3 linked regions of the Arabidopsis thaliana genome follow. The protein of the gene in region 1 interacts with the protein of each later gene in a biochemical or structural test. Each region holds a gene or a part of one and is shown in the gene's direction. Other genes may lie near its edges.

The links. Proteins that work in one complex are often made in the same cells at the same time.
Region 2: of the proteins of AT5G53360 (region 1) and LHY, one has a biochemical effect on the other in vitro, tested with the Arabidopsis thaliana proteins (one study listed by BioGRID).
Region 3: the proteins of AT5G53360 (region 1) and NAC1 form a complex in vitro, tested with the Arabidopsis thaliana proteins (one study listed by BioGRID).

Annotation. Positions count from the first base shown.
Region 1 is NC_003076.8:21,646,111-21,650,067, forward strand, and holds AT5G53360 (TRAF-like superfamily protein), read left to right. Parts: upstream 1-1,712; 5' UTR 1,713-1,987; coding exon of another isoform or gene 1,988-2,164; intron 2,165-2,265; exon of another isoform or gene 2,266-2,367; 5' UTR 2,368-2,374; coding exon 2,375-2,710; intron 2,711-2,793; coding exon 2,794-3,159; 3' UTR 3,160-3,457; downstream 3,458-3,957. Other genes in the region: CLPX (CLP protease regulatory subunit X), read left to right, coding at 150-220, 321-420, 517-621, 712-774, 855-977, 1,071-1,232, 1,322-1,393; PMEPCRF (pectin methylesterase PCR fragment F), read right to left, coding at 3,573-3,957. UniProt on the Arabidopsis thaliana protein: E3 ubiquitin-protein ligase that mediates ubiquitination and subsequent proteasomal degradation of target proteins.
Region 2 is NC_003070.9:32,879-39,492, reverse strand, and holds LHY (Homeodomain-like superfamily protein), read left to right. Parts: upstream 1-1,735; 5' UTR 1,736-1,924; exon of another isoform or gene 1,925-2,094; 5' UTR 2,095-2,120; exon of another isoform or gene 2,121-2,289; 5' UTR 2,290-2,431; coding exon 2,432-2,470; intron 2,471-2,571; coding exon 2,572-2,683; intron 2,684-2,807; coding exon 2,808-2,869; intron 2,870-3,321; coding exon of another isoform or gene 3,322-3,403; intron 3,404-3,493; coding exon of another isoform or gene 3,494-3,529; coding exon 3,530-3,763; intron 3,764-3,845; coding exon 3,846-3,926; intron 3,927-4,018; coding exon 4,019-5,092; intron 5,093-5,165; coding exon 5,166-5,501; 3' UTR 5,502-5,512; exon of another isoform or gene 5,513-5,831; intron 5,832-5,903; 3' UTR 5,904-6,114; downstream 6,115-6,614. Other genes in the region: UMAMIT28 (nodulin MtN21 /EamA-like transporter family protein), read left to right, coding at 1-84, 206-357, 439-595. UniProt on the Arabidopsis thaliana protein: Transcription factor involved in the circadian clock. Binds to the promoter region of APRR1/TOC1 and TCP21/CHE to repress their transcription. Represses both CCA1 and itself.
Region 3 is NC_003070.9:20,946,071-20,950,866, reverse strand, and holds NAC1 (NAC domain containing protein 1), read left to right. Parts: upstream 1-1,585; 5' UTR 1,586-1,722; coding exon 1,723-1,921; exon of another isoform or gene 1,922-3,137; coding exon 3,138-3,418; intron 3,419-3,520; coding exon 3,521-4,015; 3' UTR 4,016-4,296; downstream 4,297-4,796. Other genes in the region: AT1G56000 (FAD/NAD(P)-binding oxidoreductase family protein), read right to left, coding at 4,766-4,796. UniProt on the Arabidopsis thaliana protein: Transcriptional activator that mediates auxin signaling to promote lateral root development. Activates the expression of two downstream auxin-responsive genes, DBP and AIR3.

The DNA of each region.
Region 1 (3,957 bases):
CCAATTTAATGTTCTTTGCATGGTGATTGGAGTGTTAGGGTTTAAAATTTGTAATCGACATGGTTTCTTGTTTTCTTGTTTAAGTTTGATTAGTAGTCTCCCCTGTAAATCATCTGTTTTTTACATGCGGTCTTGTTGACTATCTACAGATAGACACAAAGGACATACTCTTCATATGTGGTGGTGCTTTTGTAGACATTGAAAAGACTATCTCAGAGAGGTCTGACTGATGAACATATTTCAAATTCCTCCGTTTTTTGTTTCTATCCTCTAAACTGAATTGCGTTATAAGCATATGAGTGTGTTTTTTTTGGTTCCAGGCGCCATGATTCTTCAATAGGGTTTGGTGCTCCTGTACGTGCCAACATGAGGGCTGGTGGTGTTACAAACGCCGCTGTTGCATCAAACCTAATGGAAACTGTAGGTCTTTTCATCTCTTCACTCACCAAATGTTGGGTGTTCTTCTACTTGTTTTGGTTTGTATCGAAGTTTGAAATGAGATGTTTGCTGTTGCAGGTGGAAAGCAGTGACCTGATTGCTTATGGTTTGATTCCTGAATTTGTTGGACGATTTCCAGTTCTCGTCAGTTTGTCTGCTTTGACTGAGAACCAGCTTATGCAGGTACTAGGAATGACATAAATATGTGACATTGTGATTTTTGCATTACTAGACCATGTTCATAGAATATGCAGTAATATCATTGGATTGCAGGTGTTGACAGAACCCAAGAACGCTCTTGGAAAGCAATACAAAAAGATGTACCAGATGAATAGTGTAACTACTAATCTCTCTATCTCTATCTCTCTCCTTCTGCTCCAAAGCTTGAGACAAGTCTCCATCTTCTCTTTCTTCAGGTAAAGCTGCATTTCACAGAAAGCGCACTGCGGCTTATAGCTAGAAAAGCAATAACGAAAAACACGGGTGCTCGTGGCTTAAGAGCTCTTCTAGAAAGCATCCTCATGGACTCTATGTACGAGGTAAATACACCTCTTATTACTTTCAAATCCGTTTTGCTAAAAATCCGTATTCAAACTCTTTTCACATTTCTGCAAAACATTTGTTTTTCTCAGATTCCGGACGAGGGTACAGGCAGCGATATGATAGAAGCGGTTGTGGTGGATGAAGAAGCAGTTGAAGGAGAAGGGCGTCGAGGCTCTGGAGCTAAGATTCTCCGTGGTAAAGGAGCATTGGCTCGGTATCTCTCTGAAACCAATTCCAAAGATTCCCCACAGGTAAAAACCGAGCTTTTACTTAACCGATAACAACTGTCTGGTTTGTTTGATAACCTCATTATCTGAATTGCTTGGCTTAATTGTTGCAGACGACAAAGGAGGGATCGGATGGAGAAACTGAAGTGGAGGCAGAGATTCCATCTGTTGTAGCAAGTATGTAATGATCACCACCATCATCATCATCATCATCAGAAAATGTGGTGAATGTATCTTTGTATGCGTAATATTTACCGTTCTTTGTACATAAATGAAGGAAAGAAAAACAAAGTTGGATAAGAAAACACAAGGATGCACAACTTGCACATTGATAAATGATGATGTAACAAACTTTTTATCGTATGCAATGTCCATCTTTTCATTGATGTATCTTATAATTCAAAGTATTCAACAAGAAAACGCTCTTGTAACAAATAATCTTATTAGGAAAATTCAAACACCCATGTGTCAGATTCTAATAACCGTCGGATTAAAATCCAACCAAAAAGCTTTAAATCTGGACGGGTATAATTAATTCCTCAAACTTCTTCTCTGGAAGAACAAAAAAAGATGAAACAAAGCCAACGAAGAAAAGCACAATTTTGGCGAAACCCAGTGAGAGAGAGACAGAGAGAAAGGAGGGAAATTCCAGCTTCCCTTTTCTCTCTCGTTCTTGCTCTTTTGATCTGCGTGAAAAGAAAGAATTTTTATTTTCCCGACAGAGAAAAGTCCCAATTTTTAAAATTAGGACTTTTTGATTTTCGAAAATTTTGGTGTTAATGGAAACAGATAGTATCGATTCCGTGATCGATGACGATGAGATCCATCAAAAACACCAATTCTCATCAACCAAGTCTCAGGGAGGAGCCACCGTGGTAATCTCTCCGGCTACAAGCGTTTACGAGCTCCTTGAATGCCCTGTCTGCACCAATTCAATGTACCCACCAATCCATCAGGTTCGTATCTCATCATCTCCTAACATTGGAGGGTTGAGAAAGATCTTATTGCTTCTTACGAATATAAAGTTCCAATTTTTATGATCGTTATCTTCAAATGATCTGATTTGTTTATCATTGCTATGGTATGTTACTATTGAGTTTCTTGAGGGTTTATGGATGTTTTGATATATGTATGAGTGAAAAAGTTTCTTCTTTTGTAGTGTCATAATGGACATACTTTATGTTCAACCTGTAAATCAAGAGTGCATAATCGCTCTTGAGAAAGTAGCTGAGTCGCTTGAGTTACCGTGCAAGTATTACAATCTTGGATGCCTTGGGATTTTCCCTTATTACAGTAAACTAAAGCATGAGTCTCAATGTAACTTTAGACCTTATAGTTGTCCATATGCTGGCTCGGAGTGTGCTGCTGTAGGTGACATTACTTTCCTTGTTGCTCATTTAAGAGATGATCATAAAGTCGATATGCATACTGGATGTACGTTTAATCATCGTTATGTTAAATCTAATCCACGCGAAGTAGAGAACGCTACTTGGATGCTAACGGTTAGCATTGTTCTTGTTTATGATTTACGAGTTCTTCAGTTGTCTGAGATTCTGAGGGGGTTCTTTGTTATATTGTTTTGTAGGTGTTTCAATGTTTTGGTCAATACTTTTGTCTTCATTTTGAAGCGTTTCAGCTCGGTATGGCTCCAGTTTACATGGCGTTTCTGAGATTCATGGGCGATGAAGATGACGCACGAAACTATACATACAGTTTAGAAGTTGGAGGCAGTGGGAGAAAACAGACATGGGAAGGGACACCAAGAAGTGTCAGAGATAGTCACAGGAAAGTCAGAGACAGTCATGACGGTCTTATAATCCAAAGAAACATGGCACTCTTCTTTTCCGGTGGAGACAAGAAAGAACTGAAACTTAGAGTCACTGGAAGAATCTGGAAAGAGCAACAGAATCCAGATTCTGGTGTTTGCATAACCTCTATGTGTAGTAGCTGAATCAAAATCAGCCAACCCTTCAAACCTATCTTAAGGTGTTCGTTCGATTTCTTCAATTCGATTTTGTTTCGGGTTTGTGTGTTGTTTTGGTCCAGAATCCAGATAGCTTCTTTACATTCAAAAGTGTATTTAGAGAAGTAAAAAGAGTTGTTCCATTTGCCAGAAATGTGCAGAAGGTCACAAAAGTTGCAATAACTTCCAAAGATTGAATATTTCCATAAATGTATATATTCACATGGTAAGATCTGAGCAAAGATCTAATACAGTAACATATTCAAATCATATCTTTATTTCATTCAAGAAGATGTCCTGTCATATAATAAGTACACTTAAAATGGCTTATGGACTATATTACAGATCTTGAGTTTGTACATAAAATCATTCGTATACGTAACATACAAGGCTGAGACAATCTATTGTGACAACCCGGAGAAGAAGGACACACCGGTGGATGGCAACCACGAAGAACCAGAAATGAACTGAGCCACCGTAAACTTACTAGCCTCTACCGTTGAGGTAATAACATGATAACCAGGCCATTTGACTCGTTGACCAATTCCTGAACCCAACCCTTTGTTCATATACTCACCATAGTACAACGAGTCCAATGCAAACGGACCATTCCACTCCAACCATCCTCGCGGGTCAATATGGTCACCCATATCCGACATCATGTACACAACTCTAGAATACAACTTCCACGGACGGCCGAGATACGTCGGATAACTACCCTTAGAGGCTTCAAGATCCGGTGTTGCTAGTAGCTTACAAGCATGAATCGAAATCCCCGTATTCTGA
Region 2 (6,614 bases), on another chromosome or scaffold:
GCTCTCTTGAGCCTTTACAAGAGCAGAGACGTTAATGATTGGATCATAGATGATAGATTCGTTATCACCGTCATCATATACGCTGTAAGTTACAAACATCATATCTTTATAAATTAACTTTTTAAAAATTATAAGATTAGTATGTAAGAACTTAAGATATTAATGTGGGTTTTTTTATGTGGTTTTTTTTTATCATATATTATAGGGAGTGGTAGGACAAGCAATGACGACGGTTGCAACAACATGGGGGATTAAAAAATTAGGAGCTGTGTTCGCATCGGCGTTTTTCCCACTTACTCTCATTTCGGCTACTCTATTTGATTTCCTCATTTTACACACTCCTTTATACCTTGGAAGGTATCTTCTTCGATAATCTCTATCAAATTAATTTTGTCTAGGCATAACACTAATTACAACATTAAAACTTTTGGTCTACAGTGTGATTGGATCACTAGTGACCATAACGGGTCTCTACATGTTCTTGTGGGGGAAGAACAAAGAAACGGAATCATCAACTGCATTGTCTTCAGGAATGGATAACGAAGCTCAATATACTACTCCTAATAAGGATAACGACTCTAAGTCGCCCGTTTAATTTAATTATATTGTTGTTAATGTATGTTTCAAATAACTGTTATGTCCTAGTTAATGTTTAAGGAGAGGTAATGAGAGATAAAATTTTATAATTCCAAACATCAACGTAGAGATTTGTGAAATATTTAAATCCGGTTTGTTTGGTTATTTTGGAATAATTTCGGTTATTTCAATTAGATTCGGGTAGTTCAGTTCTTCGGTTAGTAACAAAAACTGGTCTATTGTTTTTTGGTTAACCTAGAACCGAACCGAACTAACCAAAGTTCTCGGTAACCTTTTGTAGTGGCTTCCTGACCGATGAGGCCGTCAACTTCAAAAAATATTGCAACTAAGCTCTGCTCCAACATTAGAGTATCTATAACTATGTTAAACGCTTCTGCTTTAAGCAAAACACAGTTGTAAGCTGGAATCTAAAAAAATGAGTGTAATGATGTTTGCTGAATTCCATAAATAAATACTACATGCTTCGGTTAAGACTTAAGAGTAATTAATGTTCCTTAATTTCTACAAATGTTATATAAGCAAGTTGACCAAAGTTCTCGATGATAATTTGTTGAAATTTTGTATAGGCATTGCATGATATTATATGAAAAGATGAAGATTTTTATACAGACGCAAGTTCCCCGAGCAGTCCAAGCTTGTCGGGTTTAATTCAACTATGTTAATACGCAAATTTATATAGAATAGGCGTAAAAGTGAGGCCCATACAATGTCTTATTACAAGCCCAGATCCAGCATAGCCAATACGTAGCAGTACACCATCACAGCTGGCACCGTACCCACTTGTTTAGTCGTCCAAGTTTGTACCAATAATCGTTTACACGTAAGCAATTGTGGACCACCACACTCACTTTTACCTACGTGAGCTTCACATTGAAGCTTCTGGCTCGTAGAGAAGCAACTTGAGATATACCAAAAAGTGCAGTAGACAGCCACTACAATATCACCACGTGTCGATCTGCGATGACTTCTGTTTTTTCCATTTATACCCTTGGTGCTGTTCCAGCCTCAAATAAACTTTTCAATTAAAATTTTTCCAAAAATTAGGGGAAAAATTGTTGTGGCTGAGATTGCTTCTGGCTTCTCTTCTTCTTCTTCCAGTCTTCTTCAGCCTAAAACAGTCTTCCTTCTTCTTCTTCTTCTTCTTCTTCTTCTTCTTCTTCAGTTATCTTCTTCCTTCTTCTCTCTGTTTTTTAAATTTATTTTTAGAGATTTTTTTTTGTTTTGCTTCCGATTTGATTATTTCCGGGAACGATGACTTCTCCGGGGAGTTCCCGGTGAGATGATAAGTCAGATTGCATACTTGTCTCCTCCATGGCTACTCTCAAGGGTATAACAGTTTACATTATGAGCAGTTTCTAGGATTCCTATAACATACTAAGATCTCTGTTTGGCTGCTGAGAAACTTATAGAAGCGATTAACTAAATCTTATTAGCTCTAAAAGTTAGCATAAATGATACGAATCTGGTGATTGATTACTGATATGAAGATTTGTGAAGGTTTTGGCTGCGGTGGATTCGTTTGGGTGAGGCTTTTGTGAATAATAATAAAGGGAATTCTTTTGAGTTCTGCTGGAGAAGCAGCGACTGTTTCACGGTGGACTTTGAAAAGATTTCTCTTTTGAATTTCGCTCATCACTCTTATCTTAGTGTTTGTGGATAAATATTTCTCATAAAGTACTTTCTCCTTTGCAGTTTCTCTAGAATCTAAAGAGGTTATCACAACGGCTTTGCAATTTGAAAACTTTCATGTTTGGGGAGATCAAAGATGGTTTCTTTTTTATACTTTACTTGTTAGAGAGGATTTGAAGCAGCGAATAGCTGCACCGGTCCTGTTATGGATACTAATACATCTGGAGAAGAATTATTAGCTAAGGTACTACTACTAATGAAATAAGATTGGTGTTTTTTTGTTTGAGAGATTTGGACTGTTGTTGTGTGAAGATTTGATTTTCTTTTGGGTTTTCAAATGTTTAGGCAAGAAAGCCATATACAATAACAAAGCAGCGAGAGCGATGGACTGAGGATGAGCATGAGAGGTTTCTAGAAGCCTTGAGGCTTTATGGAAGAGCTTGGCAACGAATTGAAGGTCGAAAGTTTATCTTTTGAATGTTTAGTTTGAACTCTTTGAGATTTTATATTCCTTTGTTTAGGAGTGTCTTTATCTCCTCTTGATTGGGAGATTCCTTCTTTTCTTTTCATTTTGTGTGCAGAACATATTGGGACAAAGACTGCTGTTCAGATCAGAAGTCATGCACAAAAGTTCTTCACAAAGGTAAGTTGATGATCCTTTCAGATCTTTTTAAAACACTTTCGTTATCTTGTGTAAAGGTACCATTTTTTCATATCGATCTATGACTATGTTTAGAAGTTGCCTGTCACTGTCTGGAAAAGATGATAGAAGGTTCTTCTTATTCTTCCTTTTCTCTAATTGCTTCAACTAGAAATTAGGCGTCTAAGTAGAGTGTGTTTTGCTAAGTAGAGTTGGTTGGTTCCGAGGATTGCATCTCGATCGTTTTTTATCTTTTTCATTTACTCTGTTCAACTAAACTTAACATTAGATTGGTCTGTCCAAACTTACTGTTAGAAAAAACTCTACAGAGAGCTTTCTTCTCTGAGACCATAAGATAGGTCCAAATTAACATAACTAGCGTTGCATTTGGATGACACAATTGTCCCATATTCACTAAAGTCGATGAAATAATGGGATTGCATGAATTCTTTTAGCCATCCATATGGAAACCAAACCTCCTTGCCCTATAGGACAGGACATGAAGTAACTCTATCATCTCTACCCCGAAAAATTCGGGTCAGTATAAGACTTTTTTCAACCTTGGTGATGTGGTCAATTTCATGAATCTCAGGATTTCACATCTGAGCTGCATTTTTCCATCTCCAGTTTGGAAAAGCTCACAGTTTTTGGTTCACATTTCAGTTGGAGAAAGAGGCTGAAGTTAAAGGCATCCCTGTTTGCCAAGCTTTGGACATAGAAATTCCGCCTCCTCGTCCTAAACGAAAACCCAATACTCCTTATCCTCGAAAGCCTGGGAACAACGGTACATCTTCCTCTCAAGTATCATCAGCAAAAGATGCAAAACTTGTTTCATCGGCCTCTTCTTCACAGTTGAATCAGGCGTTCTTGGATTTGGAAAAAATGCCGTTCTCTGAGGTTTATTCCTGATCTTTCTCTTCTTCATTTTATCATTTTGGTGGTCTTGTGATAGACTTCTTATGTTTTATTTTCTGGTTAGAAAACATCAACTGGAAAAGAAAATCAAGATGAGAATTGCTCGGGTGTTTCTACTGTGAACAAGTATCCCTTACCAACGAAAGTAAGTCTAAGAAAGCTACAAAATTGTAGTCGAAGAATCTGATGAATGCTTTCAAGTGCATGACAAATTATTTGTTCCATTCTGATTTTTAGCAGGTAAGTGGCGACATTGAAACAAGTAAGACCTCAACTGTGGACAACGCGGTTCAAGATGTTCCCAAGAAGAACAAAGACAAAGATGGTAACGATGGTACTACTGTGCACAGCATGCAAAACTACCCTTGGCATTTCCACGCAGATATTGTGAACGGGAATATAGCAAAATGCCCTCAAAATCATCCCTCAGGTATGGTATCTCAAGACTTCATGTTTCATCCTATGAGAGAAGAAACTCACGGGCACGCAAATCTTCAAGCTACAACAGCATCTGCTACTACTACAGCTTCTCATCAAGCGTTTCCAGCTTGTCATTCACAGGATGATTACCGTTCGTTTCTCCAGATATCATCTACTTTCTCCAATCTTATTATGTCAACTCTCCTACAGAATCCTGCAGCTCATGCTGCAGCTACATTCGCTGCTTCGGTCTGGCCTTATGCGAGTGTCGGGAATTCTGGTGATTCATCAACCCCAATGAGCTCTTCTCCTCCAAGTATAACTGCCATTGCCGCTGCTACAGTAGCTGCTGCAACTGCTTGGTGGGCTTCTCATGGACTTCTTCCTGTATGCGCTCCAGCTCCAATAACATGTGTTCCATTCTCAACTGTTGCAGTTCCAACTCCAGCAATGACTGAAATGGATACCGTTGAAAATACTCAACCGTTTGAGAAACAAAACACAGCTCTGCAAGATCAAAACTTGGCTTCGAAATCTCCAGCTTCATCATCTGATGATTCAGATGAGACTGGAGTAACCAAGCTAAATGCCGACTCAAAAACCAATGATGATAAAATTGAGGAGGTTGTTGTTACTGCCGCTGTGCATGACTCAAACACTGCCCAGAAGAAAAATCTTGTGGACCGCTCATCCTGTGGCTCAAATACACCTTCAGGGAGTGACGCAGAAACTGATGCATTAGATAAAATGGAGAAAGATAAAGAGGATGTGAAGGAGACAGATGAGAATCAGCCAGATGTTATTGAGTTAAATAACCGTAAGATTAAAATGAGAGACAACAACAGCAACAACAATGCAACTACTGATTCGTGGAAGGAAGTCTCCGAAGAGGTAAAACAAAAACCAATGATTCATGGATATTGCAGAGTTCTTCTGGGAACTAACACTATCAAAATATTTTCAGGGTCGTATAGCGTTTCAGGCTCTCTTTGCAAGAGAAAGATTGCCTCAAAGCTTTTCGCCTCCTCAAGTGGCAGAGAATGTGAATAGAAAACAAAGTGACACGTCAATGCCATTGGCTCCTAATTTCAAAAGCCAGGATTCTTGTGCTGCAGACCAAGAAGGAGTAGTAATGATCGGTGTTGGAACATGCAAGAGTCTTAAAACGAGACAGACAGGATTTAAGCCATACAAGAGATGTTCAATGGAAGTGAAAGAGAGCCAAGTTGGGAACATAAACAATCAAAGTGATGAAAAAGTCTGCAAAAGGCTTCGATTGGAAGGAGAAGCTTCTACATGACAGACTTGGAGGTAAAAAAAAAACATCCACATTTTTATCAATATCTTTAAATCTAGTGTTAGTAGTTTGCTTCTCCAATCTTTATGAAAGAGACTTTTAATTTTCCTTCCGAACATTTCTTTGGTCATGTCAGGTTCTGTACCATATTACCCCATGTCTTGTCTCTTGTCTCTGTTTGTGTATGCTACTTGTGGTCTATATGTCATCTGCTACTACTGTTAATTAACCATTAAGCAATGGATTTGTCTTTATTCTTCTTTTTAAAAATTGTGGATATTGATTGATGAGATCATAAATAGTTTATAATGATAAAAGATGAACTGTACAAAAGTTACAACTTAGAAAGTTTTGTCTTTTGGTGTTTCTTCATAATGATTCTCTCTGTTTGTTTCAAACTTGAAGGCGCTCGTTGCCCAACGCCAAATGCCCAAAGGTGCTAGGCTGGGCCTTAAAGATTTTACTCACACTACTTGGGCCTACATTACAACATTTTCCCTATTACAAGCTTAAGTAATAGAGGCCTAAAGAAGGCTTATATTGTGTAGCTAGTTTATACAATATTTCAATCTCTTAATTTGGTTTACTGATGAATGAGTAGATATACAATTTTTTTGTTCTCACTGAATGAGCCATATCCTTGCTACCAAACCAAATTATTTGTGAAAAATGTAATGCAAGTATCCTACATAGATTATAGGAGTGACCGCAAAAACACAAACTATGTTTCGTAATAAAAAATAAAGTATTTTTAAAAAGATGTAAATCTTTGTAAATAATTGAGTGGTAGTGTAGTGAGTGTTACGATAATATAAAAGTTTGATCCGTATATCTCGGTGGTGACTCATATATACATTTTACAATCACTTGCTAGACCAACGGGCTTCACTTGTTTCTCTCCCAAAGTTTCTTCATCATCCTTGCGATAAAGAAAACAACAATCGGCTGTTTCGTTTCGATCCAAAGGTACGTTTTTTTTTCTTTTGTCATCGTTCTAAGATCATCAAAGTTTGATGCTTTTCCATGTTTAATCTTCTGGGTATTTTGTTGCTTCAAATCTCAATCATCCATCGAGTCTATAGAGAAAAAGTGAACAGATTTGGTATACATCTTTTC
Region 3 (4,796 bases), on another chromosome or scaffold:
TAGTTGAATGATACTTTACCTAATACGATATTAAGATGTATTTTCTCTTATTGTTCGAAGGCATATCCGAATAAAATTTTGGCATGCACTGTCTTTTCCTACGGTGATAAGCCTTGATCCGTTAGAACCCTCAGCCGAAATAAACTTATCAAAAAAACAAAAACAATAATTCGTATGCATGGGCTAAAACATACAATATTGTATCATAATGGAATGCACAATACCGCACATAATCCAAGAACTTTGGTTCTATCCAATCGAACGGAGAGGAACTATAACTCCGATCAAAGTACAGTTGAAATTAAATAGAAACTCAAATAGCTTTTGTCTCTATCCAATATTATCAAAAAGTTAATAGAATCGAAGTAGTTTGACCAAGTCAACTACAAACAAAGCTTTTGTTAGTTGTTGTTGTGGCCATCACTTCTACTTCTCCAATGTCACAAACGACAACATCGAACCCAATACTTTCACTACTCTTTCATTGAATCTTACATCTATATATATGGACCAGCTTCTTCTTCCTCTTCATTATTCAATAATCTCTAATAAACATGATTTTAGTTAGTTAACATTCATTATTGTTGTTCTAATCGCTAATAAATATTTCAAATCATTTAACGACTACTAGCATGTAAACATTAATTACGATGATCTGAGGTAATGGCGAAAACGACACTGGCTTTGTTTTATACACGAGGCACAGCAATGAAATAGACATATCCACAATTAATGGGCAAGTTTGAGTGTTTGTATTTCCAAAATCCATGTATAAAAATGACCATTGGTTAATTAATTAGCAAAACTTATTCACCGATTTTATTAAACATATAAATCGTGGAATTTAGTATAGGGCAAGATGAATGGTCCACGTCTTTGGGCCACGCGGGCCTTTCAAATCCAGCTGTTCACATGAATTATTCTCATTTGATTTTACTCGGATTATATGTTGTTTTTAAAACTAAGCAATTTGTGTGTCTATGACTACGTCGACAAATGATTATACAATTGGCGTGTATTTTAAAGACGGAGATTACAATGCGATACCATAAACAATAATCAGAAAAAACTGACATGTGTTTCATAGTATAAACTAATCCTACTAAAACTATTTCGAAATAATTAAACCATTCAGACACGTAAAAAATAAATCAAAACATTAATATACTAAAAGAAATGAACCAATGGAAGCTAGTATTACATTCTTTAATTGTTGTCTCCTGTTTCATGGCAGCCATGCCACTGTTTATGTATACAGAGAGCATAATGCGTTATCAAGAAATTAAAAACCAATTGACTAAACCATTTTAACATTTTCATTATCTTCTTATGTTTTGTAACATGCAATAATATAGATGATATATATCATAGAGAATGTAGACTTTTTCATATTATTATCTATGTGTATCCTCAGCTATTAATTCTGTCTAGGCAAAAATATGTGAGTCTGTTTGGAAATGATTATTGTTTTGGATAGAGTACGTAATTAATAATTGATTTGAAATGGAAATTAAATACTAACATATGATTATAGTATAAAGTTATAAAAATGATATATATAGAAGTTGACGGCTTTGGGTGGGCAATTACTACTTAAACCAAGGGTCTTCCTCCTCGGACACACCCAAATGATCCCAATAATTATTCTTCTCTTTATCTCTCTTTTCCTCTTAACCATCCACTAATCAAACACTAAAACCTAGAAAAAAAAAGGATCAAATCATGGAGACGGAAGAAGAGATGAAGGAAAGTAGTATAAGCATGGTGGAGGCAAAGTTGCCTCCGGGATTCAGATTTCACCCGAAGGACGATGAGCTTGTCTGCGATTACTTGATGAGACGATCGCTTCACAATAATCATCGACCACCTCTTGTCCTGATCCAAGTCGATCTCAACAAGTGTGAGCCTTGGGACATCCCAAGTACGTTTTCATTCATTCTTGACAACAGTATCTTTATTGATCCATATATCTCTGTTTTACTTTGATATGGTTGGTCCATATAGAAGATTATGTCATGATCTTCTTTCGTGTTCATGGTTTTCTAGAAACAAAACTTTAGAAGTTAGTTAATTAATCCATATCTACTAAAACAAAAGTTGGAACCAATAAACTTTAAGATGATGATGTCACCTCATTTATTTTGCATCCAGTTTATACAATGTAGTCTATTTATCACAAAAACCTTATTCAAACATATAACAATACTAGTCGATTTATATAATGTTATGGATTGGGGTAAAATTAATACACATATATACATACTTTATAAGTCTTTTATTTTCATGATCAGATGATTACAATTTATAAGAAATTTACATATATTACGTAATAATATGAAATTAATTCGAGAGGCATAGATAATTGTATACGAGAAGTTGACACTCTTGGCGTTATCCTCAACCAAATTCTTGAAAAAAAAGCTTTGGATAAAATAAAATAAGAGTAACGACGAAAAAGTCAATATCTCGATTTTGTTGGTTTATAGCCTTTAGAGTGTGACATATTTTAAGTTTCAAAATGTAAAATTCGTTGGGTTTGATCAAAATTAGTATTCTTATTCTCTCCTTTGCTTACGCCTCTAATGGGTCCTGATTAGTTTTCAAATCAATGTTAAATTGACCCTTCAACTACATAATAATTATTCAATGCTTAGTCGTCATTCATTTGATCAAAGATATTTTTCTTTATTTCAAACAAAATTCCACAAAAAAAAAAAAAAAATCAAAATCCTACTCATTTACACGCGTTGGATTCCTATTCGTTGTTTTGGTTGAATAATCACATGTTGACATGCTTTAGTTCAATCCCTCACGGATGTATCTTTTATCTATACTATTAATCGTAAATCCTAAAATAGCCGATATATTTGAACATGGCATATCTTATAAAGAAAAAAATTCTCGTTATGAGATTCATTAAACTTTTCTATTTATTTTCAATAATATCCTACAATTTTTTTGTTGATTAACCAAGTTAAGTTTTAAAAGCTAAATGTTTCTAAACAAAAGGACAAAATTTATACTATTGCGAGACAAAAAAGTTGGCGCTAACATTTAATCACATGATCAGTTTCATTATCCTGTAGTGTATAATACAACTAAGCGTGTTTGTGTGTATGTTTCAAACAAATGATTAGAAATGGCATGCGTGGGAGGGAAGGATTGGTATTTCTACAGCCAAAGAGACCGAAAATACGCGACGGGGCTGAGAACTAACCGAGCAACGGCCACCGGATATTGGAAAGCCACCGGCAAAGACAGAACCATTCTAAGAAAGGGTAAGCTAGTTGGGATGAGGAAGACATTGGTTTTCTATCAAGGTCGAGCTCCTCGAGGCCGTAAAACCGATTGGGTCATGCACGAATTCCGTCTCCAAGGATCTCATCATCCTCCCAATCATTCTCTGAGCTCTCCAAAGGTATACACAGTTAAATAATCCAGTTATTGATCGTCAGTTAATCTCTTCTTAGCAAATCTGTAACGAGTAATATACGTGTTTATGTGTTGTTGAGGGAATCAGGAAGACTGGGTCTTGTGTAGGGTATTCCATAAGAATACGGAAGGAGTTATATGTAGAGACAACATGGGAAGCTGTTTTGATGAGACAGCCTCTGCATCGCTTCCTCCACTGATGGATCCTTACATCAACTTTGACCAAGAACCCTCTTCTTATCTCAGTGATGATCATCACTACATCATCAATGAGCACGTACCCTGCTTCTCCAATTTGTCACAGAACCAAACCTTAAACTCGAACCTAACCAACTCAGTCTCTGAACTCAAGATTCCATGCAAGAACCCTAACCCCTTGTTTACTGGTGGTTCAGCCTCAGCCACGCTCACAGGCCTCGACTCATTCTGTTCTTCAGATCAGATGGTTCTCAGAGCTCTACTCAGTCAGCTCACTAAGATTGATGGAAGCCTCGGGCCTAAAGAATCACAGAGTTATGGAGAAGGTAGCTCGGAGAGCCTCCTGACCGACATCGGTATTCCAAGCACTGTTTGGAATTGCTGATGATCGAGTGTAACGAGAGTTACTATTGCTATATTCCTATCCATGATTGGAACAATTCTTCGGGGGGAAATAACGTGTGCTTGTCTGATTGTACAAACATTTCCTCACTCTTGTACCCACGGTAGATTCATGTAAAATACCACTTATGACGCTAGACATACATATATTTCATCGTAGTTCCATTTGTTTCAAGGTATTAAGGACCTCTAGAACAATTGATCAAAAAGATAATATGAAACATCACTACCTGTGTACATGATGGGATAGGTGATTGAATAGCCAAGGCAGTGGTTCCTGAAACAGAATTTAAATAAATCAAAATCAATTTTCGGAACAAAAAACCTCAGAATAACAAGTTTTCACGGTAGGAACATATATTGAATCCTTTGAGTCTACCAATGCACATAGATTCATCAACGCATAGGCATTCATCTGGTATGTATCATCAAATAAGCAGAAACTGTCAAGATAATTTACATTGCTTACTTTCGTAGATGTTGCCAATTAAATCCATCAAAAAGCACTGCGACTGGCACTTTCATCGATAGAACTGCGCTGGCTATCATTTCTCAAGGAACAAAGTAGAGATTTAGGAAGATCACATGATATTCCGATATGTATCTGTTTCATCGGCCGATAGAGTTCACGAGGGAGATTGTCATAGTCATTTTACATGATTCTAGTAGAATCTTTATATAAATGTTTTTGTTACTCTGTTTTGAGGTATTGGGGACACACTCAATAGGGTACCTATAAGCAGCTAGAAGTCTGCAAAAGCTTT